2 linked regions of the Diceros bicornis minor genome follow. The protein of the gene in region 2 interacts with the protein of the main gene of each other region in a biochemical or structural test. Links are inferred from orthologs where the notes say so. Each region holds a gene or a part of one and is shown on either strand. Other genes may lie near its edges. The genes, in order: WAC and RNF20.

Region 1 (15,498 bases), on a different chromosome or scaffold from region 2:
TTTGTCCATGGTTTTCTTTAGCACTTCCAGCATATTTAAAAGAGTTGATGGAAAGTCTTTGTCCAGTAAGTCCAATGTTGGTGTGTCCTTGGGGACAGTTTCTATTATTTCTTTTCTTCGTGACTATTGGCCATACTTTCTCATTTTTTTGCCTGTCTTGTAACTTCTTGTTGAACACTGTACATTTCGATTATTATAATGTTGCAAGTCTGAAAATCAGATTCTCCTCTCTCTCTCGAGTTTGTTGTTACTGCTTGTTGTGGTTTCTGTTGTTTGTTTAACGATTTTTCTGAACTAACTTTGTAGTCTATATTCCTTGTGTGTGGCCACTGAAGTCTCTGTTCTGTTGGCTTAGTGGTCAGCTAGTGACTCAAGAGATTTCCTTAAATGCCTAGAACCAAAAAACGAAGAAAAAACACTTCCAGTCTTTGCCAGCGGGCTCTGTGTATGTGTTGGGGCACACCTTCAACATTCAGCTGGGTAATTTATAAATCCACCTTAGCCTTCACTTCCTATTTGAGCAGAGTCTGAAATTTAGCGAGAAGTAAGCGCTTAGGGCCTTTTCAGGTCTTTTCTGAGCATATGCCCCACACTGAGTGTGCATGTGGCCTTTCAGATTCCAAGAAACATGTGGGAACTTTTCAAAGACTTTATTCTCCCAAGTATCTCACTCCTCAGCCTTCCCTCCTAGGCTTTTTGGTGTCTATTGTTTGCCCCAACTGTTATTTCTTTCTCCAGGTGACAGCAGCTAATAAACTTGCCTTTAAATGTTTTTGACAAATGCCCCCTGGGTAATCACCTCTCTGCCTCAGGAGAGGTTCAAATTAGGTGAAATAGGAGTGAACTTTTTGCACCAGTCCTTCACAGAGCCACCAGACAGGTCAAAAATACATCATCACAATTCTTTGAGGACAAGGTCCATTCTGCTCCCTCTGGCACCAGGAACCTACACCTGAAATGCAGGTTGTCATCTTCAAAATTGCCACTGAACTGGCGATGAGGAAAATGTGGCCATGGTAAGTTTAACTGACACAGAGGTCTCCTACTGAGATTCAACAACCTTTTTCTTGATTAAGTGTTTGTCTGGCTACTGTAACCTTTCACCAGTTTCCAGAGTTGATATAAGCTTGTTTCTGACAATTTTTGCCAATTTATTTGCTGCTTATGTGGAGAGATGTGTCCTTGGAGTTCCCTACTTGCCATTTTTGCTGACATCACCTCCATGGGACTGATTCTTGAAGAACCTCAACATTTGGTAATGGAGTAGAAGAGGATGAGTCTGCAAAAAGGAATGAGAGGAGCTGTCAGAGAGACAGGAAGAAAACAAGGAATGTGATGTGTTACAGACACCAAGAGAGAAGGGTAATGCAAAGACAGTAGCTATCAATGTCAAATATTCTAAGATCAAGTAGGAAAAAGACTGAAAAATGTTCAGTGGACACAGGTACACAGAAGTCATTTGTGACCTTAAGACTGTTTTTCAATAGGGTGATATCAGTATTTTGAGAACAATTCTTTTTTTTTTTATTTTTCACTTAGGAAGATTCGCCATGAGCTAATATCCATCGCCAATCTTCTTTTGTTTTTTTGCTTAAGGAAGATTCCCCCTGAGCTAACATCTGTGCCAGTCTTCCTCTATTTTGTATGTGGCTTGCCGCCACAGCATGACCACTGATGAGTAGTGCATGTCTGCACCCGGGAACCAAACCCGGGCCACCGAAGCAGAGCACGCCAAACTTAATGACTAGGCCACAGGACAAGCCCCAAGGACAATTCTTAAATGTAAGGGACTGTCCTACACATTGCAGTATATTAGGCATCCTTAACCTCCCACAACTAAACACCAGTAGTACCCCTCACCCTCAAGTTATAATAAAAAAAATATGCAAGTCAAAACCAAAAAAATCCTGCCACACATTTCCAAATTCCTCCTGGAGAATCAGCACTACCTCTTGAAGAACCACTGCCTTAGGAAAATCTATTTTGGTGATGAGGGCAGATGTCATAGTATAGTGACCTGAAATATAAATAGAGAAGCATGAAAATGAGTGAGGTGCCAAAGGCAAGTCTTACTGGAAGTTTGGCTGAAGTGAGAAATACAACAGAGTAATTGCAGGTAAGGAAGGGTTTTTTTGACATACGATTCAGACATGTTTAAAAACCAACAGAAATGATCCAGATGAAAGGGACAGTTTGAGTATACAAAGAAAAAGATCATTGATAGTGTAAAGTAACTGAAGGGGCGGAAGGAAAACATATGTGAAGGAAATAACCTTAGAGAGGAGGCTTAACTCCTGTTTTGAAACAGTGACCTTAGGACAATACAGTAGCATCCAAACTCATTTCCCTGCTTCCTTTCTTGCCATATAAACTATTGTCAACATAGTAGCCAGTGCCACTTCTCTGCTCATAACTCTCCAATGGCTTCTCTTCTGACTCAAAATAAAAGCCAACCTTTTTAAAATGGCCTATTAGATCCTTCATGATCTGCTCCCCCATCCCTTCCTTTTAACCTATCTGACCTCACGTCCTAATACTTTCCCCCTCAGTCACCACATTTCACCCACACAGCTTTCCTTATTGTTCTTGAACACATCAGGCACACTCCTGTCTTACGATATTTGCTCTTACTGTTCCCTTTGGCAGGAACAGTCCTCTCTAGACACCCATAAGGCTTGCTTCTTCATCATGTTCAAGTCTTTGCTCAAATGTCATTTGCTCAATGACCACTCTATTTAATATATTACTCCTTAATCTGGTACTTCCTATCACCCTCCACTCTTCTCCATAGCACTTACTACCTTCTAAACTACTATATCATTTATTTATTTTATGCCTGTCCTTTCCCACTAGAATATAAGCTCCAGGAGAGTAGAGATTTTTGTTTGTATTGTTCATTGATGTATCCCCAGCACACAGTGGGTACTCAATAAATTGTTGAGTAAATATAAGGATAAGTTGCGTGTAGGTATATTTGTATATTTGTAAGCAGGAAGAAATTTCCATTTGATGGTTTCAGTTTAGGAGGAAGGAGGCGATGTTATCTGCTGAAAGTGAAGGAGAGTTAGTAAAGTGAGGGGGATAGGTTTGAAGAGAGTGGAAGTCTGAAAAACTTGTTGGAGTATGTGAGGAAGACGAAGAGAGAAATGTAACATTGCTTGGCTGTACTTAGGGTCCGTTTGATTTTGGTGACCACGAGATTTTAGTAAAATCAGTCTATTCTATTGTTCAATAGTCTTTAGCAGTGTACAACTGCTGAGAAGTACTGAGAAACTGAATAGTCAGGTTAATTCAGGCTAAAGTTTTCCCAGACAGAGGTAAAGGGTCTAGGTTGTATTTCTCAATCTTGGCTGCACTTTAGTCTCTATCACTTGGAGAAACTTCAAAAAATGGCCAGTTTGCAAATCCAGAACTTCCCTCTACTGCTAATACACGAGTTAAAAAGGATCCCAGGATCTGCCGATTACATTATTTGTATTATTATCCCTGCTTAGAAGGATACACCATACACTGACATGGTGCTATCCTGGAGGTCTTTACTCTTTCTAAGTAGTAATTTTTGTTGCAGTTTTCCTATTTTTCCACATAATTGAATAAAAGCCTCACATCACAAATCTGAGAATACAAAGGGTCTCCTTTTAGTTATATATTGTAGTTAGTTAAAATATAAACTCCATAAGAGCAGAGACCAAGTGAATTTGCTTCATATTATGTTTCTAAGCCATGATACACAGACATTTAATGATGCTTTTGAATGAATGAATGATAACCATCATTGGTGGAGCATGTGCCAGGTGCTGCTAAATTATTTATATAATTTACTTGTTACAAACAGCCCTATACCCTCTCAAGCCAATTTTAGAGATGAAGCAGCATAATATCTGAGACTTGGGTAATCTGCCCAAAGTCACACTGTTAGTCAGTCAATAACAGAGCTCTACATTATGTCATTCTGATTCCAAAACCCACGCTTTTAATCACTATACTATGCCAAGTCTGAGAGGAAGGCAAGGATAGTGAAAAAAGCGATAGAAACTAAGAGGTAGGTAAAAATTTCAGGGAATATATCCTTATTTTGTGCCCCTTTAGAAATTCCAGCAAAATCTATTTTAAGTCTCTTTTACAACTAGAAGCTTGAGGACTTCACTTTTTCATTCTTTCTCCACCAATACGATCACATGCAAATCATGGTCACTTATAGTCTGTGGGCTGATAGTTCTCCCCCTCTACTGATTGATGTGTGTTAATCTATTGGTTGAAATACGGGACTTTTGCTCACTTACAAACTTGAGATTGCTCCGTAGAAAGAAATGCAAACAGTCTGCTTAAGATTTGCTATATAGGCAAATTTATGTAAATTTTCAAATGTTATTTGTTATACCTTTTTCTGTATTAGGAATAATCCAGCTTTTCCCCATTTTATTTGTGACAGCAAGATTGGATCTATAATTTTATTGTTTTTAGAAAGCAAGCAGAAATAAACTCATACATCTTTTCCTCTTGAGAATTACAGTATTTTGTTATTTTCTTTGTATATTTTTTTGTAGGCAAATATCCTTTCATTCAACAAATATTTATCTGATTTGTCACAAAGCTTTCATTTTAGTGGGAGATAACCCAACAGATAAACAAAATATATGACATACTATATAGCAAATAGTATAAGAAAAATAGAGCAAGGTAAGGGAGAGAGATGGCCATGGGGTGCCATTTATATAGCTTTCAACGGAAAGACCTTTCTGATAAGGTGAGATTTGAGAAAGATCTAAAGAAGTGAGAGTGTGAGCCAGGTAGGCACCAAGAGGAAAAGTATTCCAGGTAGGATAATAGTGCAAAGGTCCTGAGACAGAGACACGCTTGATATATTGGAGAAAAAGGGAGGATAGAGTAGTGGAAAAAGAATAAGTCAAGTCATTGGATATAAAGCCCGAGGTAACGTGGGTGGGGGCAGTTTACATAGCACAGTAGACCATTGTAAGAACTTTGGCTTTTATTCTGAGATGGGAAGCCACTGGTGGGTTTTAAGATGGGAATGATATTGACTTTTAAAGAGATTACTCTGACTGCTGTGTGACTAGACCATGTGGAAGCAAGGGCTGAAGTAGGAGATCAGCAGGAGGCCTCTGCTACAGTCTAGATATAAGTTGGTGGCTTGGACCAGAGTGAATGGGATGGAGGTGGTGAACAATCAGACTCTGGGTATATTCTGAAGATAATACTGGTAGGATTTGCTGGGGAAGTGGATGTGAGGTCTGAAAGAATCAAGGATGACTCCAAAGTTTGTAGCCTCAGCTGGAAGAATGCAGTTGCCATTTCATGAAATAGGGAAGATCTGATTGGGATTTGTTTGGGGGGAAAAATTAGAGTTTGGTTTTGGATACATTAAGTTTGTGAAGCCTGTTAGACAGTCAAGCAGTGCTATAGAGTAGGCAGTTCAGTGTTAAGTCCAGTATTTAGGGAAAAGGTGTGGGCTGAAGACTCAAATGTGGGTTTCACTTGGCTGGAGATCTGGATGGGACTGCCTAGGGAAAGAGAGTAGAGAGAGGAGAAGCAGTCCAAGTTGTGAGATTTGAATCCTGGGGCACTCCAGCATTTAGAGGGGGGAAACTGAGAAGGAACCAGCAAGGGGAGTAAGGAACAGCCATTTAGGAAGGAAGAGAAGCAAGAGTGAAATACAGAATGGAATCCTGGCAGGCAAGATAAGGAGCTTCAGGAAGGAGAGAGTAAGTCATCAGCTGTTTCAAATGCTGCTGACAGGTGAAGTGAGATGAAGACTGAGGGAAAAAAATGGATTTGAGAACATGGAGGCTAATGACGATTTTGAGCAATTTCAGTGGAATGTCAGGATCAAGTCTGATTTGTAGGTTCAAGAGAGTAGAAGTGGAGATGAAGTTTTTCTATACAGGAGAGCAGATCAGAGTAATGGGGCAGCATTTGGAGGGAGATACAAGTCAAGATTTTTTTTTTTTTGAAGATGGTAGCTATTAACACCTGTTTATGGGGCTGGCCCCATGGCTAAACTCAGCACGCTCCACTTCAGCAGCCCTGGTTCTGTTCCCAGGCACAGACCTACACTACTCGTCAGCAGTCACGCTGTGGCAGCAACCCACATACAAAACAGAGGAAGACTGGCACAGATGTTAGCCCAGGGTGAATCTACCTCAAGCAGAAACAGGAAGGTTGGCAACAGATGTTAGCTCAGGGTGAATCTTCCTCAGCAAAAATAAAAATATCAACACGTTTATAAGTTGACAAAAGTGATCCAGCTGAGAGGGGAAAAATTCATAAGGAAACTGGACAATTCCAAGAGTAAAATGGAACTCAATGCAAAAGGGGCAAGTTTGGTCTTAGATGGGAATTTTGACAGTTTATCTACAGTTACTGGTGTAGCAGGGTATTCAGATGCAGGAAGATTGGCAAGTGCCACAGTGAGAACTACTACTGATTTCTGTTTTCTTAGATAAGAAGCAAGATAATGATTTACTAGAGAGGAGTGGGATGTACAGTCAGGTTTAAAAGATGTTAAATAGTTGTTTAAGAAGGCGGGATAAACGGATTAGGGAAATTAGCCTGAGGGGGTCAGGAACACAAGGAGCTCACTTCAGAGTGCAGATGTGTTTTTCTCCAACCAAGTTCAATAGCTCTGCTGCAGGCATACAGTGAATTAACAAGGGTTCTGATTTAGGCACGTACAACAAAGGAAGAAGGAGGAACGCACTGAAGATACCTGCAGAGGAGGGTTTATAACAACAGATAATGCAGTCTAAGGTAGGCAATGAATCTTTAAAAAATGGGTATAGCATTCAGATGTGCCTTTTAGTAAATAGTCGATTCTCATTATTTGAGGTAGTTATGTTCTATAAAGTTACCATGAACCCTGAACTGCTCCTGGGGGAAATGCAGGGTTCAGTTCCCAAGAGACTCTGGTCACAACATTTTCATCAATACATAATGTGTTTCATGTGTTTCTGTTTAGACACCTTGTTTAATATATATTGTTGATTCATTAATACTGAACTCATTATGGCCAAGAGCACTAATGATAAGTCTGAAGGTAGCTTATCTAGGACAGTGTTTTCTCTGCAAGGCACATCACAGCCTTCTTGTGCTTAGGAATATCAGACAGCACTTCAGCACTATGCTTGGGGGCACTTAAAACAGCAAAACCACCAATAAATAGCACAAAAATGTGAGAAACATGATGATATGTATATTGTGAAAAGCACATCTGTCCACAGTATGAGAGCTGAAATAAGGCAGCAGAGTGTCCCCTTGCTTAACCTCAGCTGGACACATGCATGTCAGACAAGTTAAATTTTCTGTCACTCTGCGCATGTCCATGAACGCTGCACATACTGATTTTCAGGGTACAAATAAATTTTAGTAAGTAGGCGAATTCGCAAATATGGAATCTGTGAAGAATGAGGACTGAATGTACACTGCTTGGAACTGTTTCCTCCATAGCTAAGCCCAGTCTGCTGCTTTTAATCAAATAGTATACATCAATTTCAGTAGACGTCTGATTATCAAACAAAACAAATGTTGCTGTTAGTTGTCAAAAAGTTTCTACATTGATATATTATTTTCTATACTCTTCTAAGCTGGTGTCTCTTGTTTTCAATGTATTTGTTAGAAAAATGTTAGAAATTGCACATAAGACTCGAGGTTTTTTTTTTTCCCCTCATTTCACTCACTGGCAGTTTTTCCTGAGTTACCGACAGCTTACCGGCATGAAGTAGGCTTTTACTGGTCCTCACAAACCGCAATAATTTTAGTATTCAGCAGGCAGCTGTGACAAATAAGGGTATGTAATTCTTTCTTTCAAGCAGTTGTAACGTCAGGGTCTTTTTCCTCACATCATTCCATTTCTTCATTAGGCCCAACAACAAGATAACTTGTTGGATACCAAATAAATCAATTAGTTTTTGATATTGTCTTTTGGAGGGATCTTATTTGTGATGTTTCCTATTATACCTTTTTATTCTGTGTAAACAGTTGTATATTTATGTTTATTACAATCCTTTTAATTAAATTAATGTTGCCTTACAAGGAGTTTAGAGCAGAAAAAAAAAATTACCGGATTACTGCCACTCTCAAGTAAAGCTTCATTTTCTGGCAGACTTGACCTGTTCCCTCCCATTATGCCAGCGTTGCTACTGGGCCTGCAGCAGGACGGAAAATTCAATTTGCAGCCATTTCGTGGAGCACCCCCCATGCCTTTATTCACATGCAGAACTTCCAGAGGAATTTCACCAAAAGGCTCCAGCGAGGAAGAAGAACTAAAAGAGAGAAAAACGAGAAATAAAGGAGAGGGTGGGGAGGGCACGACTGGCGGTGGAAGATACTGAATGTGGAGGAGGCGATTGGTTCAGCATTTTCTCCCAGCAACCCATCCCCCTAAGGCCCCAGGCCCACCCGAGGTTCTACTTCACGGCCCGGAGCGGCGCCCTCCTCACTCTAGAATCTTCCCTCAGCGCGCAGACACCCGGCCTCCCTGCAGTCTCGAGACCCCCCCCCCCCCGTCGTCTCCCCTCCTCGGAAAGCTCGCTCTCCCGACGTTCCGGGGAGTGACTTACTGCCAACTGCCCTCGCCGGGCTCCGAGCAGCCCCCGCCCGCCGAAGGCCGGCCGCGCGCGCGGCGGCAGGGTGGGGGCAGGCGCCCAGGCCCCGGTTCCGGCTCCATGAGGGGCCCGGGGGAACGGTGGGCCCCCCGCCTCCCTGAAGCGGCTGCCGTCGCAGCAAACCGAGAGAGCTCCTTGACAGCCGTCCGCCCGCCGCTTGACCGGGGGCTGCCGACCACCCGGCCAGCGCCCGAAGGGGCGGGCACCCTTCCACCCCCGCGCCGCTGGGCGCACGCGCAGCAGCCGCCGCCTCCCTATTTAGTCCGCGATGGCTTCTCTCGCGCCCCACCGTCCTCCTCCTGAAGGCGGCTCCCTCCCCGCGCACCGCAGGGCCCCTGGGACCGGCCTCGAGCAGGTCCCCGAGCAGGACTATCCCTAAAAGGGAACGGCGCTGGCCGGACGTCGCGTGAGGAAAAGAAGCGGCAACCGGAAAGAGCTGACGGGTCGCGAGGAGGCGAAACAGGCCTCAGAGGAAGAGGAAGGCCGGGGCGAACCGAGGTTTGCCGAAGGCGGCGTTCCGGAGCTGCGCGGGGCGGGGAGAGAGGCAGAGGCTGGGAGAGGAGGGGCGCGGCGGAAACTGCCGAGGTTTGCCGAAGGCCGCAGCGGCCGAGTTGCCCGGATGTAGTTGGTGGAGCGGCAGCGGCGGCACCAGCAGCGGCGGTGGCGGCGGCGGCAGGAGGAGGAGGAGGAGAAGGACCAGGCAGCGGCGGCGGCGGGGGGAGGAGGGGAGGCGGCGGCGGAGCAGGAGGAGAAGGCGGAGGAGGCAGTCGCTCTCCGCGGGGCCGAGCCGGACGCGTCTTCTTGGCCCCCTCCCCCCGGTTCGCCGCTGCCGCCGTGTAGTTGGCGCCGCTGCCCGGGCTGAGTGTGAGCGTGGTGCGACCGCAGGGAGATGGCCCGGGAGCGCCGGCGCCAGTAACGGGGAGGTGCTGAGAGTCGCCGAGGGCGCGCCGGGCCCTGGTGCCGGTGCTGCCGCCCGCCCGCCCGCCGCCTGCGCGCCCGCCCGCCCCTCGCGGCCGCTCTCCGCCCCCCGACACACACTCACAGGCCGGGCATTGATGGTAATGTATGCGAGGAAACAGCAGAGACTCAGTGATGGGTAAATCGTCTTTTCCTTTCCGGCCGGGCCGCAGCGGGCGGGGGGCGGCGGCGGGGGGGCTGTTCCTCCTGAGCTGGTGCTGCCGCGCCGCCATTTTTGTTGTTAAGCCTGCTCGGGATCGGGCGGGGAGGAGGAGCCGCCGCGCGAGCGGGCGAGCACGGGCGGGTGCGGAGGGAGCGCGGGCCGGGGCGCGGGGCTTCGCCCTCTCGGGGCCGCCTGAGGCTGCGTGTGTGCGCGCGCGCGTGTGGGCTGGTCGCCGGTCCGCTCGGGAGGTCTCCCGCGGGGAGGGGCGGGGGGGGCGCGTTTTCTTCCTCTCCCCGAGATGTCTCATGTCGCTGCCTCTCTTCCTGTTTTTCAGCTGTCACGACCGGAGGGGGGACTCGCAGCCTTACCAGGTACCAGCCGAGCCCGGGGTGGGGGGTGGATGGGGGGACGGAGGGGGAAGGGAGGAACTGCTACTCGAGCGCAGGCTTCAGAAGTCGCTACAGGCCCTTCTGTGCAACAGATCCCAAACTAGCACCGCGGGGCCCCTGAAAATCGTGTGTTGGGTTCCCTGAGCGCTCTCCAGCGAGCGTTAGTGACTTGTTTTGACAGGTGACTGGAGGAAGTTCAGTTTTTTTAGAAAAAAATCATTCTCGGCCAGAAAAGACCTGACTTGATTATTTGGGCTTGAAGGAATCGGTGGGATGAGGTGCCTTCTGAACCATATTTATTTATTGTAGTGGGGAACTAAAAGTTAACGTAAAGATATTAAAATTAGAACTAAAAGTTAATGTAAAGGTATTAAGATTAAATGAAAGGTCTGGGAAGAAACAGCTAATTGATTCGCAACTCTTAAGTGTGTTGTAAACCCCTATCGCTTCCCGTTTTGTTTTTGGTGCAAATAATTGCCTGACTAGTGGAAGAGTGCTTTTGTTTCTGAAAGAATTGAGATCTTTGGATACTTAGACAACTCATTCTAATGTAGACAGTGCTAGGTATGTTGGTTCCTTTTTTTACAGCAGTTGCTGTGTGGAAAGTTTTTAAAAATTGTGTGGAAGTGGTCCTTTTTTTCAGGAGGAAAAACTTCATAAATGGTTGGTAACTATCAGATGACACCAGAAGTAAATACTTTCTACATCTGATCACTTAAAGGAAAGGAGAGTAGGTTTCTAAGCTGACAGTTTTGTTACTGGCTACCGTGAGTTGTTAAAGCTCAAGTTAAAAACCTTACGTCCCCTGATAACGTCAAAAACATTGTTTGTTACATTTGGATAGTCAAAAATTAAACGCTGTTGAATCTGCCCCTCTAGAACATAATTAATTATATGCTGTAAAAGACTGGTATATCATAGTTGTCTTAAATATGTTTTAGAATGAAACTAAAATCATTGTGAAGGGAGTTCCATTATGTTTTGTTAGAAATATCACACAACATTTTTATACCTTAAAATTGTATCCCACATCTGCAAGAGTTGGTTAGTTAGGTTTGAAGTGCTGTATTTGAATCAAAGAATTGGAGAGACTGATGCTTTTATTTTTTGTAGGTTTGCAGAAACATGCTTATGCTTACTTTTACTTGTAGTTGTAGAGCAGAGATAGCTTACAGTAGTACTGTTTGTACTTTTCTTTAAATTAAATTTTTTAGTTCCCAGAAAAATTTATTGAGGAATTAATGTACAGAGGTGTCTGATTTCTTGTATTTACGAGATACTTAATGGAGTGGATTTTTTTTCTTTTATTTTTTCTCTTTTACATAGGGTATTATGATTTGTGTGAGGAGTCTTATAGTAACTCTTAGGCATTTAAGACTTGTTTGACTAACTTAAAGGCAGAATTGAAAGTGGAAATTTTAATTTTATTGATATAAATTTATGAAACAATAAATTTAATAACATCAAATTTTATGATAAAATTAATTTAGGAAGTTAAGTTTAAAGTTTCAATTCTTTCTCTCTTCTTTTTGGGGGGGTGATGTTTTACAGGCACTTAAATATTCATCGAAGAGTCACCCCAGTAGCGGTGATCACAGACATGAAAAAATGCGAGACGCCGCAGATCCTTCACCACCAAATAAAATGTTGCGGAGATCTGATAGTCCTGAAAACAAATATAGTGACAGCACAGGTCACAGTAAGGCCAAAAATGTGCATATTCACAGAGTTAGAGAGAGGGATGGTGGTGAGTAGCTTTTTTGTTGAAACTTTCATGTATGTTTATTTTTCACAATAGCTCTATGTAAAACAATAGATAAACAAGGGGGTGGTAATATTTCCAGCTTGTGGACATTACCATATGGTTATGTCATCAAAATAATTTTATTTTTATCAACTTATTTGATTCCTAAGCAAGTTACTGTAGAAGTAAGGTGCTGACCTGAGGATCTGAAAATGGACTTCACTGGTTGATAATTAGAGAATGCATTGATGAATATAGTCTACCAAATTCTTTATTAAGGAGAGAAATGTACAGGACATTTTTCCAAGAAAGGAGCTTTAATCTTTTCAAATAAAGGTTTCAGTTTATTTGGCTTAGTTTATTTTGAGATCCTTGTTGCTACTTGAATTTATTTTTTAAGGAGTTCAAGTGTGTTTCCTAAGGATAAATTATGCAGTTAAAAACTTAGTATGAAAAAAAAACTTAGTATGTTTTTTGAGACAGTTCACAGGTTTAAAAAAAAAATTTGTGATTCAGAAAATTCCTTTTCGGTTTTTGTTGTAAACGTTTAAAATATTCTGTATTCTCCAGGGTCTTGTGAATAACCTAACTTCTATACCATGTTCATTGAAGTATTGAACTTTTTAAAAGTTAGCCTTTTGTGCAGTGCTGTGACTCTTCAGTTACCTTGCCTCAAGCTCTTTGTGGTACGAGGCTGAGAAAAAGTAAATAAAAATAAACTCAAAACTATTTTTAAACTTAATTTGCCCAAAATGTACCAAAATATCAGATTCATTGAGGACCATTCATTGTTCCTCAATGTTTAAAGCATTCATGGAGGAACAAATCAATTTCACTAAGGTGGTTAATACCATTTATATTTTTCCCACATTATATTGCTTAGTAGATAACGTCCTTGAGGTGAATATACAGTATTGATTGTGCTTTTATAAACTTCTAAGGAAACTAAGTGTTGTACCATGTGGCTTTCTGCTTTTGATTGTCAACTAGCTTCTCAATACTTTGTTTACTTTAAAAAAATATCCTGTATCTTTTTGGCCTCTGTTTTGCCTCTTAGGACAGAAATCAGCTTTACTCAGTGTGATCAGATATTGAGAAACATTGGCCGCCTCTGTACGTAGTTCCTGGATTGGGGAAATTAATAATGGTTAGAAGATTGAATGAAGATGAAGTAGTTTGGATGGTTATTGGATGAGTGCAAAATAATATTTCTCTTTTGAATATAGCTATATATAGCTTTGTGCTGCTTATGCAGCACTTAGAAACCATACATTTGTAAGTAGAAGTAGCAGGCACGTTTGGTTATTAAAGTATTAGAAGTTGTTGACAAAATTACTTAAACTATTAATATTTTCAATTTTGTGGGTAAATTTTCTATAGTCTTATGTGTAGTCTGAGATCATGCTGTTATCAACCATTCTTCTATAGTGATTTCATTTCGGATAATAGCTCTTGGAAGGCAGGTACTATTTGTGTTACACTGTTGTATTTTTAAAATTTGGGGGATTGTGACAAAATAGGATGTGGCAACTCGTCTCCTTATAGATAAGTATCTTAGATTCTCTTTTAGTGATTATGTTCCAGTTAACGTATCATCTGTCCCCAAATCCAGGAAGAAGTCAGTGAGGTACTCGAGGAAACTTCTGTAAAAGCTTTGTTACATTTACAGTGAACCATGCCTGATTAATTCTTTTACAGGTGAAATAATCCCAAGAACATTCTGTTGCTTATTCATTCAACAAACATTGGGCATCCACTGTGTGTCAACAATTGTGTAGTGTTTCTGGAAGTAAAGATAAGATGCAATCCTGGCCCTGAAGCTATTCTTAAAGGCTTTGACTCTTGAGAGCTAGTGGTGGTTTAGCTGCTTACTTTTTCTGTAATCCTTTTTTCTTCTTGTTGATTTTAATTTTACTTCCTATGATAACTCCAGATAACCTCTTGTTGGCTTTTAGTTTCCTTTTTACTTGCATCTGCTTGCTGATTTTTTTTAGGTCCATTTGTAAGAAACTTCTTACTTATTTTTCTCGTCTAGTCCTTTGCTAAGTTAGGCCTCACTTTCTAATTTGCTTTTTAGCTGCTTGTCTGTCTTCCTCTGGAGCCTTTTAACTGATGCTGTAACTCCATCCTTGTCTGTACTATCTCTAAGATTACCTCGTTGCCATATTCCTTTATACTATGTAGGAATAATAACACCATAATATATTAGATCTCCATTCTGGAGTTCAGAGTGCCTTTTTGCTGTTAATTCTGTATTTTAAAGATCTCAAGTGGTAATTCTTCCCTCATTTAATACTTAGATGTTTAGTCATTATACTTTGACTCCAGGTGTTTTTTTTTTTTTTTTTTACTGCTAATATGTGTTTGAAACTAAGTTTTTTAAACTGCATATGAATAATTTTATCACAGATATTTTATTCCCTTAGATTTCTATCTTTAAATAAATATGAATTTATATTAAATATATATAAATATTTTTATGTGCATATATATATTCAAAACCATTATCCAAAGTCAAATGCAAGTGAGTTGGATTATTTTTGCGCTCAGCATGTATAAGTAACAATGTAACAACAGGTTACTATATTGTTCTACATAATTTCAAGTCTGTTTTTTAATTTTAGGATTTAAAAACAGTTAATGACTTTCTTTAGTAAATATCTAATAACAGCCTATGTGCTGTGATTTGTAACTTGCATTTTACAAAAGCAAGTTAAACAAATGTGGAACTTGCAAGATGTGTTGATGTTTTTCTCAGGATTGGGCTTTCTGGTATCTATCCACATCACAACATAGTTTTTTCAGTAATTATTCGATTTCTTTCATGGCACCTTGGATTTCCTTGAAAAGTGCCAGTTCAGAAGTAATGTATAAAAGTACTTTAAGATATACTATAAAAAGTAAGAAAGCAGAGATTGAGAAGGATTGTCACTCCTAGAAATCTTTAGTTAAGAAAAGACTTATTGCAACATAGTACATACAGTTATAAGTCAGAGATTTTATCCCTTAAGAGTTTATTAAAGGGAATGTAGATTATCTATTGTAAATTAAGGGAAATTATGTGAGAGTATAACTTACTAAAAAGGTTCTTTAACTTAGTGAAATAAGTTATTTTTATGTATTCTGTGATCTATCTGCAAAAGATATAATTTTTTGTGTAAATATAAGCAAAAGCAAGAATCTTAAGGTATAATTATTAGATTTGTTATTCATAGCTTAGACATGTTTTTAAAGGTGCAGTTGACATCCGAACGTCACAAGTATGAACATACAGTACAGGTTGAATTTGTACTTCTCTGGAATTTTAAAACTCTTTCCATTTGGTTAAAATACGTTTTTTTGGAGGATTAGTTCTAAATGATTATTTTACCAAGTAACTTAAAATTTAAGAATGATGCTAGTATAAATGAGTTTAGGAATGAAGGGTATCTTTACAGAGATTCTGTAAGGCTGTTCCGCAAAACTTCAACCTCTTGGGAGTTGTCCCATTTTTCTCATCATCCCTCTTAGAATTAACTGTAATAAGATATATTTGGAATACTTGTTAGAAATATCTTTTTTGGGGAAATAGCTTAGCTCCATTCGTTAATTGAAAAATATTCTTCTTTATTGGTTCCCTGATTT
Region 2 (15,021 bases):
TAAATGCCCCAAATTTGTGCTCAGAGAGATTGACCTGAATGAGCACAATTACCCTGGGCTGGGATAATGATTATTGCATTAAAAAAATTTTTTTTTTTTTTTGGTGAGAACATTTAAGTTCTACTCTCTTAGCAGATTTCAATTATATAATACAGTTTAATTTTTTAAAAAGGAAAATATCATAGTATTCCTACTGTCATGGTGTTTCATGCTAGCACTATAAATTTAGATACATTTTCCATTGTGAAGCTATACCATCATTGAGCCAGCCCTTCTTGACAGGTATCATTAATATTAAAATAATATATCTAATCCTGCTTGTTTTGCTTCCAGGTTCATCAAGTAGCCTTTTGATTATCTGTAAATGTGGCTTCATGCACAGACCAGCTACAAGGAGAAAAAAATTAATGACCAGAGAATGCACATGTCTGGTGTTTTTGCAATAATTAACAAATAGGCATTTTGGTTAGAACACTGCATGTAAGTTTGGATAAGGAGTGTTTTCTTTAGTCCCTGATCCCCTGTGGGGGTCCTAAAACTGTAATCAATTTTGTGTTTTTGCCTCAGAGTAGGAAATAAGGTGCCTTCACCTACATAATACCACCTGGGGAGGTATCTTTATGCTAACCAGTCAGCCTTCCCTAGAGGATGCCTCTTTCCTGCATTGCATTTCAAATGTTAACACTGCTTCATTATCAGAGTTGATGGGTTTGAGCAACAAGAACTGGGACATTATCTGGAAAGTCTTAATCAAAGGAATGGAGACTTGAATTGGACCTTAAAAGACAGACATGGTGTAGATGTGTGACCCAGATGGGGCATGGTGATTAAGAAATGGGGTTCATATCACACAAGCAAATTCAGCTGTTAACTGCAGAAAGACAACATGTAAGGTGGTTGGCATGGACTGAAAATATACGCAGTGGGAAAATACATGCGGTGGGGAAAGACTACATGAGTTAGGGAGTCTTCAGCGTCATCATTCTCTTCAAGACATAAGGAGATAAAAAAGTGAAAAGGAGTATAAAGAAAGGAAGCAAGAAAATCATCATTTGCAGATGATAGGATTGTTCTCCACCCAAAAAAAGAAAAAGAACCTAAGAGAATCAACAAGAGAGTTTTGTAAGATAATAAGTCGAAGGCAGAAAAATACATAGCTATCCTATATAGCACTTATATCCAAGTGGAAAATATAATTCAAAAAGTCTTATTCTCAATAGCAACAAAACCTACGGACTATCTAAATATAAATTTGATAAGTAACATGAAAGACATAATAGAAGAAAACCGTGACACTTTACTGAAACATAAAGGAGCACTTGAGAAAATGGAGAGATATGATGTGTTCCTGGTTGGGAAGACTAAATATGAGAAAATTTTCATTTCTCCCTAAATTATTCTATAAACGTAATGCACTATATCAAAATCTCAACAGAATTTTGTTTATAAAGTTTACAGATAGCTTTGATTCCCCGCTCCTGCCATATGCCCCGTCTCCAAATACCATCATGCTGCGTGTCACAATACGTGTTTTGGGGGGGGACACAATTGAGTCCACAGTATTGGGTTATTGAAAGTCTTGGGGGAATGGGCTCTTCTTCCATTCTCCTCTCCGCAGGAGTAAAAACAGTAATCTTTGGAGTAACTTTGGAGTAAAATACAATAATCCCTTTACAAACTACATTTGAAGGGATTAAAGGAGTGCCTGGGTACTAGAAGTGGGACCACCTGTCAGCAAGACTCCACACCTTCATTTGCAGGAGTCAGATGGGAGCCCCTGGCCTCTGTGTCTCTGAGCAAGACTCCAAAGCGACATTTTTTCAACCTCAAAGCCTTAGGACCTCCAGCACTGGTTATCCCAATCCTTTGGTCATCCAGTGGATGCTGTGGTGTGCTGTCAACATCTTCCCCTGCCCCCCTTTATTTATTTATTTTTTTGTGAGGAAGATCAGCCCTGAGCTAACATCCATGCTAATCCTCCTCTTTTTGCTGAGGAAGACCGGCCCTGAGCTAACATCTATTGCCAATCCTCCTCCTTTTTTTCCTCCCTTTTCTCCCCAAAGCCCCAGTAGATAGTTGTATGTCATAGTTGCACACCCTTCTAGTTGCTGTATGTGGGACGCGGCCTCAGCATGGCGGGAGAAGTGGTGCGTCGGTGTGCGCCCGGGATCAAACCTGGGCCGCCAGTAGCGGAGCGCACACACTTAACCGCTAAACCACGGGCCGGCCCCCCGCCCCCCTTTAGAACTGAGGAGCTCATTTTCCCCAGCTGCCGGGAATGTTGGATGTCAGTGTTCAGCTGAGTTCCTATCCAGAGTTTGCCCTTGGCTGAAGAAAGCCACCTCACTCAAAGTCCTTCCCCCTTCCCCAGGTCACCTGGTATCCACATCCAATACTGATTGATGCAGGGATGTAAAAGCTTAGCCTCCATGCCTCAATTCAGGGCAACTCTGATAGGCTTTCCCAGTTCTCGAGTTACCCACATCAGTGGAGGCCTTTGTGGTGACAGCAACACAGTCCAATTTCTCCTTCTGCCCAGTCCTGCTTCTTCCCCTCTCCTACAGGTGCTAAAGCTCTTGCATGCATATCTCCATGTCAGAGTCTATTTCCTAAAGATTCCAACAAGGGTCAGTCTCTTATTCCTATTTGACTCTGCCCCTGGCCTTTGTGGACCCTTCTCCACCTCTTCCATTCTTTGAAACTCTTTCTAAATGTCTTCTGGAATTCCAGATCAGTCAGCAAAAATCTTTACATGAAGGTTTGAGATAGACAATTTTCTTTCAGTCCCCTGGATGTTAGAATAGTTATTTCTAGTTTACTCTTATTCAGAGGGCTCTCTAATAGTGTTGACTGAGGAAAAATCACTGCAATTTAAACGGCAGATATTGGGCAATTAGAATTGCAGTTTGGGAGACACAGGTTTAGGCAGAAACCCAAATGTGCTCTGGAGAAGACAAGGCAAGGGTTTATAAAGAGAAAAACAGATAAATCATACAGGCTATTTTGCAAGATGCATGATTGGTGCTAGCAACAACCGTTATTCCTTGGCTATGTGTGATTGGTTGCTAAGGCATCGCCAAGGCAAAAAAGTTCTTACCCATGGGAGGAAGCATTTTTCTATAGAAATAAGCATTTTTTCTTTTTTTAAGGGAAGGTCAAGATAACAGCGAGGCACAGCTCAAAAATTCACGCTGCATCATGCAGAGGTGTGGTGTACGTGCATAAGCCTCACTTCCTCAGCTCCATTTAGAAGCACCGGCACATGTGACTCCATTTTGTTATTGCTGTCCACAACAGGCACTCAACCTTGATAGGCCCTGGGCTTTGTCTCCTGTACCTCTTGCCTTTCAAGGCCATGAAAACCTAAGTTCACTTTTACCCAGTTTGACAAATGCCCTTAAGCTGAAATCCAGTTTTAGTCCTCAGCTTGTTTTCTAAAGGATGGTCATTCTATGCTGCTGAAAATGAAAATTCAAAATCTTACCTTCGTAACTATGTTCCATACCCCTACACTAATGCCTGATGCAAGCATTTCAGTAATATTTTTTCTCCTCCAAGGCTGGGTGGATTGCCAGTTACCCAGTAACAGCAGTATGAAATAGTGGACGTACCCAGTGAGAATTCACTAAGACAGCGTGGCTTTTGCTTTGCAAATTCTCATCCTCTAGAGGGAGTCACGGCCAGCACAAATGCATAATGAAAATCAAAATTATAAAAATATTAGTAACCTAAACACAGAATGTCACATGGCCTAAAAACACAAAAGACCAATTCTCTGTCACATATCACAATGCAGCTTTTCAGGAGAGCATTACATGAAGTGGGGCTTCTCTGACAATTTGTGACTACAAATCAGCTCTCATGCTTCCATAAACCCTGCTAGGACTCCCTGTCCTCACTCTCTGAGGATGAGAGGCCTGGCTTTGGTCCCCTGGACTAAGCCATGACCACGGTCCCCAGAAATCACAAAGTGAGAGGGCCGGGCATGGCATAGCACAGCGGACCAGGTGATCTGGGGAGAAGGAGGCAGGGCGTAGAGAAGAAGAGAGAGATGTGGCAATCCTACCTTATAGGAGGAGGTAGGAGAGGCTGAGGACAAGAGGAGGGGCTTGGTTTCTGTAGAACACTCTCAGGAAGAGCTGGATATCATCACTTAGTACAGTGTTCCTCAAACGTGCCCAGATGGTGGGCATAATTTCAAAAGTAAGAACTTGCATTTCCAGAGAGCTTTCCCCTGGAGATTCTGATTCACTAAGCCTAGAGCAGGAGCCATGGAGTCTGTATGTTTCTGTTTAACAAGTGATGTCATGCTAGATAAAATACAACTTGACTAAAAATAAGGATAAATAAGGGACTTCTGGAATTATGCCTAGCACACAAATAATCCAATCCAGACTTCATGGAATATTGGAATGCATGGAGATATAACAACAATCTTACAGCAGTACATTTGCAGAGAACATAGACAAAATGGTAAATAAGAATCCAAAATTTCTTAATTATGTCTTTTATGAGAGCATTGAGCCCATCCTAAGTAGTTGTCCAGGTTTCTAAGAGTTGAAGACATGACCGAAGGGTAAGTGCAGTACTCTGCAACGGAAGCTTTAGAAGAACTGGGATCAAAAGCGTGTTGCCTGCTGCCACCTTGTGGCAGAATTGTGTAGTTAACGAAAATGAGGGACAAGTCAAAAGAGTTGGGTCCTTTGACAAATATTCATTAAATAACTTGGAAAAATCACTTGAAATCTTCCTGAGTGTGTTTTCTCCTCTAAAAAAGCATTATTACTGTATTAGTTATGTTATAATGTTGTTGAGACAAGCAATGAGAGCTTTCAAAGACAAGTGATATAAAATATTAAGTATTATTTTAGTATAGCAAATGCTGCTCTGCCATTTCTGGGTGAGGGCTAAACATTTTTCCAGGGCTAGTCTTTTTCTCTTGATTAAGATGGTGAACAGGTGGTGGCTGGTCAGAAATGAGGAATAAGGTCAATGAGCACAGTCTCTGCCATCCTCCCCTTCATCTATTCCATTTTCCCAATTCTCTAGGGTGAGACTACCTCTTTGGATCAGGACAGGCTATCGGGAAGGTGTCAGATGGCTGACTGGGGCTTTCGGAAAAGATACATCTCACCAGCAGCTGGAGAATGTGGTTGTCTACATGATGAGAATTGAAAGGTCCTATAAAGATCTGTTCTCTTCTCATCATCTTCTCTAGCGCTTTGAAATGTGGGTTGAAGTTAGGGCTGTCCTGAGTTGATCTGGCTCTATTTCCCTGAGATTCTCTTAATTCTGCCCACCTCTGTGTTGGCTTCATTATCAAGCTGGGTAGCAAGAACTCCAACAGTTTCAGGCCTCACACAAAAAATTCAGAAGATAAGTATACTGCTTCAGTCCTAGTATTCAAAGCAATTCACCCTGAACTGTCCATTGTTAAGACTAGGACTTTGGCTTGAGGAATGGGACTTACTATTTATATTAAGGCAATCTTTGGAGATGGAAGTGAAGTCGGCTTCCCCCAAGACATACGGAATGAAGTAAGTGAAATGGATATGTGAATAATATCCTAGTTGTGTTAAGAAGGTGAGGGAGGGAGAATGGATACTGGGTAGGCAACCAATAATGTTCACTTAATATCAGCAACTGATTTATGACAATACAACACACAGGTGATGATACACAACTGAAACTCGAAGAGTGGCAGGGAACTGATGATGAAGAGTGGGGATTACAGCAAACAGGAATAAAAGAGGAAGCACTGCTCAGCTCTAGGCAATGTGGCCATGCAAGAATACAAGCCTGGTGTTGCTAGATCCTCAACATTTCCAAGAGAAGTTGATAATCTGGATTTTTACTTCAAATATCTTATTTTAAATGTTGGCAACAAGCCAGTTTTTTTTCCCCCTCCTTAGCCACAAAGCGCAGCCAATACTGGCCAAAATAAAGCAAGCATATCTGTTGGCCAAATACAGCCTGTGAGCCTCTTGTTTACAAACTTTGGGCTAGAAGAACCATTGCTTGCCATTCAGCGGTTCTGTGGATGCAAGACTTGCCAAGAGTAGAGCAGCCAAAGTAGGGAGATCAGAGAATGAATATCATTTCTAGTACAATGCTTTTCAGCAGGTGGATCCCCAAACACGGTTCTCAGGGTTCTGCTTTGCCTGAAAAAATCTGAAGTCCAAGTGGGGCCAGTTACTTCTTTCCAGGCTAGTTAAAGCGTTCCAGTACTGGAAACCACGAACACTCGTTTTCCCATTGTTTACTTTCTTACTTCACCCACAGGTAAGACCTAGGGACAAAAGTCTTCACGTGACCAGAAATCCAGTGTGGATTAGGGTTGATCTTTTTTCCAAAGATGCCTAAATTCCATTGGTGGTTCTTCTTTTTTTTTTTTTTTTTTAAGACATAACAATCATTTTTCCATCTCTGGGCACCTATCTGATACCATGAGATACTTTTTCATAGTTCTATGACACATACAGCCTTTTATTGATAAATTAGAATGATTACCTTACTATCATTAAAACATAGACATTTAGCTTAATTGAACAGGAAATAGCAGTTTGTTATTGACTAAAACCAATGCTTAATTAGCTTCAAATAGACTACTGTTGAGATCAGAAACAACTCATTCATTTGTGTTTCTTATCTTTTCCCTGGTCAATTTCTTGTTCCAAAGATGCACAACAGCAGTAGTTGTCAATGTTGTTTGCACACTAGAATCTCATGGGTGGGGGAGGGGTGGGGAAATGCTTTAAATAAAGTGTGGATGTCCAGGCCCTACCCTACAGGGACCAAAACTCCCCAAGTGACTCTAATGTGTAGACAGGGCTGTACATAGTTCCCTGTAAAAGTCTCCAAGCCCCGAAACCCATCCAACCTCTTGGATTTTCTGCAGAACCCTTCATTTCAGCACCAATGGACTCCGCCGAGTAAAAGTTTCCGGAGGTATCGGAGGCTAGCTCTCACCTGCCGGAGATTGACGGGACCATCAGCCAATCGGCAGCCTGAAAGAGTCTCGGTAGAACTAATACCAAGCAACAGAACAAGGCACTTTATCTCAGTAGAAAAACCAGGTGGCGGGCGCAAAGGCCAACAAGCCGAAAAAGTCACTGGAGCTGAAGGCCCTGGTGCATCCGAAGTCTCAGCCGACCGCACCTGCAAACGTTGCCAGTGAGACCGCGCTTACTTCCGGGCGCTCGGCGCCCTCGCGGGACGTCACTTCCGCCCGGCTGTGTTGCGTAGTCCACCCGGCCGGGTTGAAGCGACTTCCTCTTTTCTTTCCCTTTTTCCTGTCCCTGGCCCCGCCTCCCGGAAGTTCGATGGGTCTGCGCCCGCGGGTCAGGGGTGAGAGGTGGGAGGGCTCTGCAGACGCTGGTGAACAACCTGCCTGAGTTCTGCACCCGGGCGGCGCGAGCTGGAAGAACCCGGGTTAGGTCTCGGCCCAGGGCGCGACGGGTAAGGGCGGGCCCTCGGGAATCGCCACCCTCTCCGGCTCCCGGGCGTGCAGGTGGCCGCGCCGGAGGCTGGGGTCCTTGGCCCCTCGCGAGTCGGGTTGAGGCCCTTGTCCTGCTTCTCTGTCTCCCCTGTCCTCAGGCGAGGTCCCGCTCAGGCTGCCGCCCCCAATACCCCGCTCCGGGAGCTTGAATTGGAAGCAGGGTAATGTGACGGCAGGGCTGCTTCCTAAAGTAGCCAGGTGCCTTGGCATTCATTCCGCCTCATTTGAGCTCCGGAACCCTGGGAGGCTGGTAGGGCAGACACGGTATTTGTTCGCTTCCGTTGTACGTCTGAGGAAACTGAAGCTTTTGGAGAACGAAGTCTTTCAAGGCAATTCAGCTTCCTAAGAGGTAGCACTGGGATTCGCCCCCAAGCCTAGCTTCCCTAGGCTTGCACAAAATCATGGGGAGAGCGTTTGGAAATAGGGAAGAAACTGGAAATATAAAAAGGAGAGCTGGCATTTCTGAGCGCATACTTCATCTCAGGCATTGTGCTAAGTTCTTTCTGTACTCATTCATTCCTTATAAGGGGCATAGGAAGTATATACTGTTGTTATTCCTGGTTTAGGAACTTGAGGCTCGGATGATAAGTGACTTGTCCAATACTGATGATTTGGTAGACATCTCCCAGCTCTCTTTCAGCTCTGTGATTCTCCCAACCCTACGGAATTAACTTCCATCCTAATCAAACTGTACTTTTCAGATTTTGGCATTTCAGGAAGTGAGATTTCTGAAATTTTTCTCGATCTTTTCATCCTTTGCCGGTTGCTTTCTTTCTTATCAGTATTCCATTTAGAAATTTATAGTCATGTAAATTCAGCCCTGACTCTTACTCCACAATTTACTTTTTTCTTTCTAAGAGGCATTTGGGTTGCATGGTGTGGAATTAATGGATGCAGGTTAAAGGGTTGGCTGGAAAAATTGTTATTTTTTACATCATAGGTGGTCTCTTTTTATTGTTGCTCTCATTGCATATCTTACCCCAGTTTCTGCCCTTTTTCCCTCTAGGAAAACAGCTATTGTCTTGTGCCAAGATGTCAGGAATTGGAAATAAAAGAGCGGCCGGAGAGCCTGGCACATCCGTGCCTCCGGAGAAGAAGACAGCTGTTGAAGATTCAGGGACCACGGTGGAAACAATTAAGCTCGGGGGCGTCTCTTCAACGGTATGTGGCAACAGTGCTATTAGAGGGTGCTTTTCTTCTGTCAGTTGCAACCTGAAAGTAAGAGTTTATGGAAGCCTTCTTGATCTTTATTTTCAAAAGTGTGCTTATATTTTTTGGAGAGTCTGGTGCCTGAGATAGCGTTGATTATAGGTATTTAGCAGTGGGAAGGTATACATTCATTTTTCATTCACTGAAAAATTAAGTGCCAGATACTAAGAGGCAGTGTAGCAGAATCATTGAGAGAGTGATGGCGAGGGAGAGTCTGAGGCCAGACTGCCTGGAGTTGACTCTCCACTCCACCGCTTCCTAGCTGCCTGGCCTTGTGGTATCCTGCCTGTGCCTCTTGTTTCCTTGACTGTAAGATGTAATTATAGTACCTTCCTCATTGGGTTGTTGAGAGGATAAAACGAAAGAGTCCGTGTTCAGGGTTAAAACATTATCTCTAACATGGTAAGTATTCCATATATGTGAGCTATTCATAATTATTATTGGACTAGATGATATGGATATAATGGTGAATGAAACAGATACTATCCTTTCTCTTATAACAGTTTCCTTAGACTGTTATACACCAAAAGCTCATAGTGATGTTATATGTTGATTAGACATCAGCAGCTTGCTATAATGGGTTTTGATCTAGATCAGGATTCCGTATTTTAAAACTCAGCTGTGGGAATATGGTGTTAAAATGCTTTACATCTGTATAGCTTACAAAACCATATCTGTTACTTATTTGTTTTGAGGCTGAGGATTAGAAAGAGTAATAGGAACATTCAGAGTAAACTATTGATGAAGTGTCATTTCTGAGACCATCTGGGGTTCAGCTACTCCATACTGCTGCCAGGAGGTGATTTTTTTCTCAGCACTGTCTCTCATTATGCATCCCAAGGACATTTATTCATTCAGTAAATATAAACATTTGTTGAGTATCTGTCATTTGCTGGATGCTGTGCTTTACACTGAGGACAGCCCCTGGACTCCAGTTTGTAGGGTGGCACTGACAAGGGAGCAGACTGTTATGATAGAGTGGGATATGTGCTCTTCATAGGGATAACCACGTGCTCTAAGGGAAGGTGGAGCACACGTCCCAGTACTGATGTAATCCAGAAGGCAGTGAGGAGCCATTGGAAGGTCTTAAGCAGGGGAGTAACATGCTCTGATGTATGTTTGGAGAAAAGACTTAGAGGAGCAAGGGTTATAAGCCAGAGTTGAGTTAGCAAAATTGTTCCCTTGTTCCTTCTCTCCCTTCCCCCTCCCACTCCACCTCTCTAAGGGTGGGGAGCTGAGGCATATATCCACTGATTCCTGCCCCAATTGGTTGAAGGCAATAACCTTTCCTCTGCACTTCGAGGTTGCTGTAGTGAGCCAGCTGAGACTGGAACCAAAAACTGAGACTCCAAAGTGTGCTTAAGTGGGAACACTGGCATTGTGAATGGAGCTGTCCACCACAGCTGTGCTGAAGTCTGGCAGGCTGACAGGACATGGCATGGGGCACAAATGTCGGCTACAGGAGGCTTTTGCAGTAATCTTGATGAGGATCGTAGTGGTTTGGACCACTGTGGAGGTAGCATTGACAAGATTTGCTGATGGACTGGATGAAGTATATGAGAAAAAGGAGGCTAGATGACCCCAGGATTTTGGAAGTATGGGGTTTCCACTTACTGAGCTGGGGAGGAGTAAGAGAGGAGCAGAGTTTTGGGAGCTGTGGAGAATGAATCATGAGTTTGCTTTTAGACATGTACGTTGGAGATATTTGTTAGACCTCTGTGTGGATGGGTAGTTGGATATTGTAATCTCCAGTCTGGAGAGAGGTCTGGGCTACAGCTGTACTTTTGGGAGTCATCATTTTGTAGATGATTTTTAAATCCATGAGACTGGAGGCTCTCCCCTAAGAAGTAAGCGTAGATAAAGACGAGATCTGAGAACAGAGCACTGGAGCACTACAGCATTTTCGTGTCAAGGAGATGAGAAGAGACTAACTAAAGAGATGGAAGAAGAAGCGCTGGTGTGGTAGGAGGAGAACAAGAGACAGTGGGGTCCCAGAAGCCAAATGAAGATAGTGTTTCCAGAAGGAGTTGATCAGGTGCTGCTGATGGGTTGAGTAAGGGGAGAACTGAGATGTTCGAGTCAGCATGGAAAGTTTGCTGGAGACTTGACCAGAACTGTGTTGGTAGAGTGGTGGCGATGGAAGCCTGATTGCAGTGAACTTAAGAGAATATGAGAGGAGAGGAATTGAGGAAAAGAGGGTCGAGACAGTGCTTTGGAGGAGTACTGATGTAAAGCAGAACAAAGAAAATGGGGCAGTAGCCAGAGGGAAACGAGGGGTCGAGGGAAGGTTTTGTTGTTGTTTTTTGAGGCAGGAGATATTATAGCACGTTTATTGGTTGAAATGATTTGGTAGCGAGGACAAACTTGATGTAGCAGAAAAAGGAGACAGTTACTGGTGTGATGTCCTTGAATAGGCGAGAGAATGTAATATAATGCGCAAGCGGGGAGATTGGCCTTAATTAGGAGCAGGGACAGTTTATCTGCAGCATCCAGCAGGAGGGCAGGGGATATGGGTTCAGATGTAGTTGTGGTTGTGGGAGACAGATGTGGGCATCCTCTTCTGATTGCGTCTGTTTTTTTTTTCAGTGAAATCAGAAGCAAGACTCATCTGAGAGTGAGGATGGGGGAGGAAGTTTTGGAGGTTTGAAGAGACAGGAGAAGGTATGAAGTAGTCATCTTGAAGAGAGAATGGACTAGAGAGATGGAGTAGGCTTGCTGGGCAGCACTGAGGACCTCCTTGAATTTGTGGTCACGAGTTTAAAGTGAGCCCAGTCAGCATGGTGCTTGATTATTTTCTAGTCGTGTTCAGCTGTGTGTGTGTAGGCCTGGAGTAGGTGGGGAGTTGGATGTTACCAGGATTGGGGTTTTACCAGGCTAGTATGAGGAAGGAGAAGGTTATAAAGGGACTCGATTTTAATGACTGATCATGGAATTTAATTTTGATAAAGAAGGAAGAGAGGAGTGAAGGACAGGGAAAGGTGTAGGAATGTTGGAATGTAGATTCTGGAGGAGTTGAAGAATTGTTGGAGTCAGAAAACTAGAGAGAGTGAGCTGGAAAAACAGGTGGTAATTGTGGAGAATGGAGTGTTTGAAACTGAGCTTATGGAGAGCATACAGGTACAGCCAAGGCTAAGACTACGAATACCTGTGGGAGTTTGGTGACTCAGGGAGGTAGAGGATGAGGTCATTGGAGGAAAGGAGGTCAATGACTTGATGAGCCAAGATATAGGAACGATCATCTATGTGGAAATTGAAATCAGTAAGAACTATGACAGGGGTAGAATTGGAGAGAGTGATAAAAGTGAGGTGCTAAATCTTCAGGAAATGTGGAAAAGTGACCTGGCCATTTATAGATGAGTGCAACAAGGCAGAGTGCCAGGTGGTATAGACCAATGGCATGAGCTGCAAAGCTAGGAGGTTTTAGGGAGGAGGGAGAGATAACGGCCTAGAAGTGGCAATGAAGAACAAGGAGGACACCCGTCCCTCCAGGCCCAGGGCTTTAAGGGGTGTGAGAGAGAAACCACCACCACTGGAGAAGCCTGCAGGGAAGCAGTATTCTCTTCCAGGTTTTAGTTAGAGCAAGAAGGTGAAGGCAGTGTTCAGAGAACAGGTTGAGGATGTAGTTCAGTAATAGTATTAATAAACTGGTACAGTTGGGAAACTCTTGACTATTTTGGTGTATCAAGAATGTTTTAACCAAAATGGGAGAAAATAAAAGTGAAACAAGAAATTGGTGTTCTAATAAGTAGTTCTTATTTTAAAGTATTCATTAATTCCTAGGCAAAGTAAAAATGTAATCCGTTCCACGTACTGTTCTTTTACCGAGATACTACCTACCCCACTCCGGCACCCCACCTTGTCCTAGGGAAGGAGCTAGAGAGAGAGAGGTGAAAGATACTGAGAGGGGTGCAGAATTCCTAATGGAGTGACGATTTTGAAGAAACAGAAGAGAACGAGGTCCTGAGCACAAGTTGAGGTTTTAAGAATGTGGGCATAGGTTGGTAAGTGGTGTGAAGGGGTCAAGGAGATGGGGAGTTGAGGAGCTTTCCATCTGATGGCTTCTGTTTTCTTGTTAAAATAGGAAGCAAAGTCATCTGCTTAGTGTGATGTGAGAGGAGGCAGGGCTTGGTAGAGTTTGATATTGCCTTGATGGAGAGTAGGAGATAGCTCACTTGTTAAAGAAAGAAACATTTCTGGACAACTTATAAGATCTGTTCAGGTTAGGAGTTCATTTTATAAAGGCACCAGTCTCCCTGACTGATCATATCTAGAGGTCTCAGCATACTGGGTATAGGAATGGAATAGTCAGATATGTGGATTAACTCAGACTGGGGTTTGTTTGCAGAGGTGGAATAAAAGGATTAAGGGCAGAGAATTGAAGAGCCTGATAGGCGAGTGTTTGAAGGAATGTACTATAGGTATAGTCAAGATATAGAAGATAATGGAGACAGAGGGGACTGACAGAGAGAAAGGAGAGAATTCAAAATTTTGGAGATCTAGATGAGGACTGGTATTTTGGAATAAGGGCATGAGTTACCTAGAAAGATATGGTTTTATTCAGGGAATGGGAAGTTGGAATTTAAGATTTCAGATTTGGCACAGTTTCAGATAATGAGAAAAATCCAAGATGTGGCTTTTGAAATGCATGGCTGAAGCCCAGTGGAGGAGATAATCATTGGAGTTAAGGAATTCAAAACACAGCCTACATGCCAGAGGATGTCCACGTGTATACTGAGGTCACTGACAAGCACTGGGATAGAGAAGGACCCAGGTGTCAAAGACGTGAATAAATGAAGGGCAGTGCTCAGGAGATAGGTTAGAGTGTGGATCAGTGTAGAGGGTGATCTAGCTGGATGGTGGAGCCTCATGGTGTGGTACTTTTGTGGATGTACCTGTGATTGGAACTGTAAGATGGGTGAGAGAGTTCTAGTATATTTGTACGTGTCATTCTTTCCTTCTATCATCATAGACCCTTTCCTTTATTTCTTCTGCTCCTACTTCTTACCTATTTGTTGTAAGATTTTTTTGTAATGAATAGCTTTATTCATGGGAATTAACTAACTAATATGACCTTGTTGAGTTTAGCAGCTGATCTGTTTAATTTATTTGTGGAGACTAATAAGATTGGTTTCCTGAGGCAGGAGGAGTTAGACATTCGAACGCTGCAAACCAAAAATCGCAAGCTGGCAGAAATGCTGGATCAACGGCAGGCCATTGAAGATGAACTCCGTGAGCACATTGAAAAACTGGAGCGAAGACAGGCCACTGACGATGCCTCACTGTTGATTGTCAACCGGTACTGGAGTCAGGTAGCTGGCTTGTTTATCTGCTCAGGTTTTTTTTTGAGCAATATAGTTCTCCTTAGCACTGTCTTCATTTCCCAAGTTGTGTATTTTGTTTTTTCATAATTGTACCTACCCTTCTCCAGTTTGATGAAAACATCCGTATCATCCTTAAACGTTACGATCTGGAGCAGGGTTTGGGAGATCTCCTCACCGAAAGAAAGGCCCTTGTTGTGCCTGAACCGGAACCAGACTCGGACAGCAACCAGGAACGGAAAGATGACCGAGAGAGAGGCGAGTGTTTATTGTGGATTCTACCACTGCTGCTATCTGGGTTTTTCAAGTGGAGCTTTGCTTTGAGGCTCTCCATTTGAGGGAAAAAAGTAGATTTTGATATTTCCAGTTTTATAATGTTGGGGGCTTCTTTTTTTCCCCCGTGTCCTCAGGGGAAGGGCAGGAGCCAGCTTTCTCTTTCCTTGCTACTTTGGCCAGCAGTTCTAGCGAAGAGATGGAATCCCAGCTGCAGGAGCGTGTGGAGTCCTCCCGCCGAGCTGTGTCCCAGATTGTGACCGTCTATGATAAACTGCAAGAAAAAGTGGAGCTCTTGTCCCGGAAGCTCAACAGTGGAGGTGAGGCAAGAACCAGGGGACGGGGAGCAGAGGGGGAGTAGTAAGAACTCACCTCTGCATGCTGATTTGTAGTTTGCAAACTTACATCTTTGTTTTTAATTAAATTCCTTGAAATCTAATGTCCAGTATTACAGTGATGTCATTACTATAGCATGTTAGTATTTATGAATGCTTCACATTTTGAGCCACATGACAATACTTTAAGAAGCTGGGGAAAGATTTTATCAGCCCCATTCTGGTTCTCTGTTAACTAGACGCTTTTATGAGTAGCAGAATTAATTATATTATTTAAGAAATAGCTCTGTTTCTGGATATTTGTGTTTCTGGGTTTTGACCATTGATTTATTAGTGACAATAAATGCTTCATTTTAAATATTGGTAATTATATTTTTAAAAAAATTTA

What was found.
Region 1: the proteins of RNF20 (region 2) and WAC form a complex in vitro, tested with the Homo sapiens proteins (2 studies listed by BioGRID). The link is inferred for Diceros bicornis minor from reciprocal best matches to the Homo sapiens genes RNF20 and WAC.

Annotation. Positions count from the first base shown.
Region 1 is NC_080775.1:27,434,439-27,449,936, forward strand, and holds the start of WAC (WW domain-containing adapter protein with coiled-coil), read left to right. Parts: upstream 1-9,637; 5' UTR 9,638-9,667; coding exon of another isoform or gene 9,668-9,674; 5' UTR 9,675-9,676; coding exon 9,677-9,717; intron 9,718-10,075; coding exon 10,076-10,111; coding exon of another isoform or gene 10,112-10,112; intron 10,113-11,662; coding exon 11,663-11,877; intron 11,878-15,498. Other genes in the region: uncharacterized protein LOC131398901, read right to left, coding at 1,193-1,279, 8,078-8,279, 9,049-9,637, 9,668-9,674.
Region 2 is NC_080767.1:11,216,698-11,231,718, forward strand, and holds the start of RNF20 (E3 ubiquitin-protein ligase BRE1A), read left to right. Parts: upstream 1-7,362; 5' UTR 7,363-7,458; intron 7,459-7,494; exon of another isoform or gene 7,495-7,847; intron 7,848-8,504; 5' UTR 8,505-8,530; coding exon 8,531-8,659; intron 8,660-11,293; exon of another isoform or gene 11,294-11,368; intron 11,369-13,848; coding exon 13,849-14,016; intron 14,017-14,135; coding exon 14,136-14,289; intron 14,290-14,441; coding exon 14,442-14,618; intron 14,619-15,021. UniProt on the Homo sapiens protein: Component of the RNF20/40 E3 ubiquitin-protein ligase complex that mediates monoubiquitination of 'Lys-120' of histone H2B (H2BK120ub1).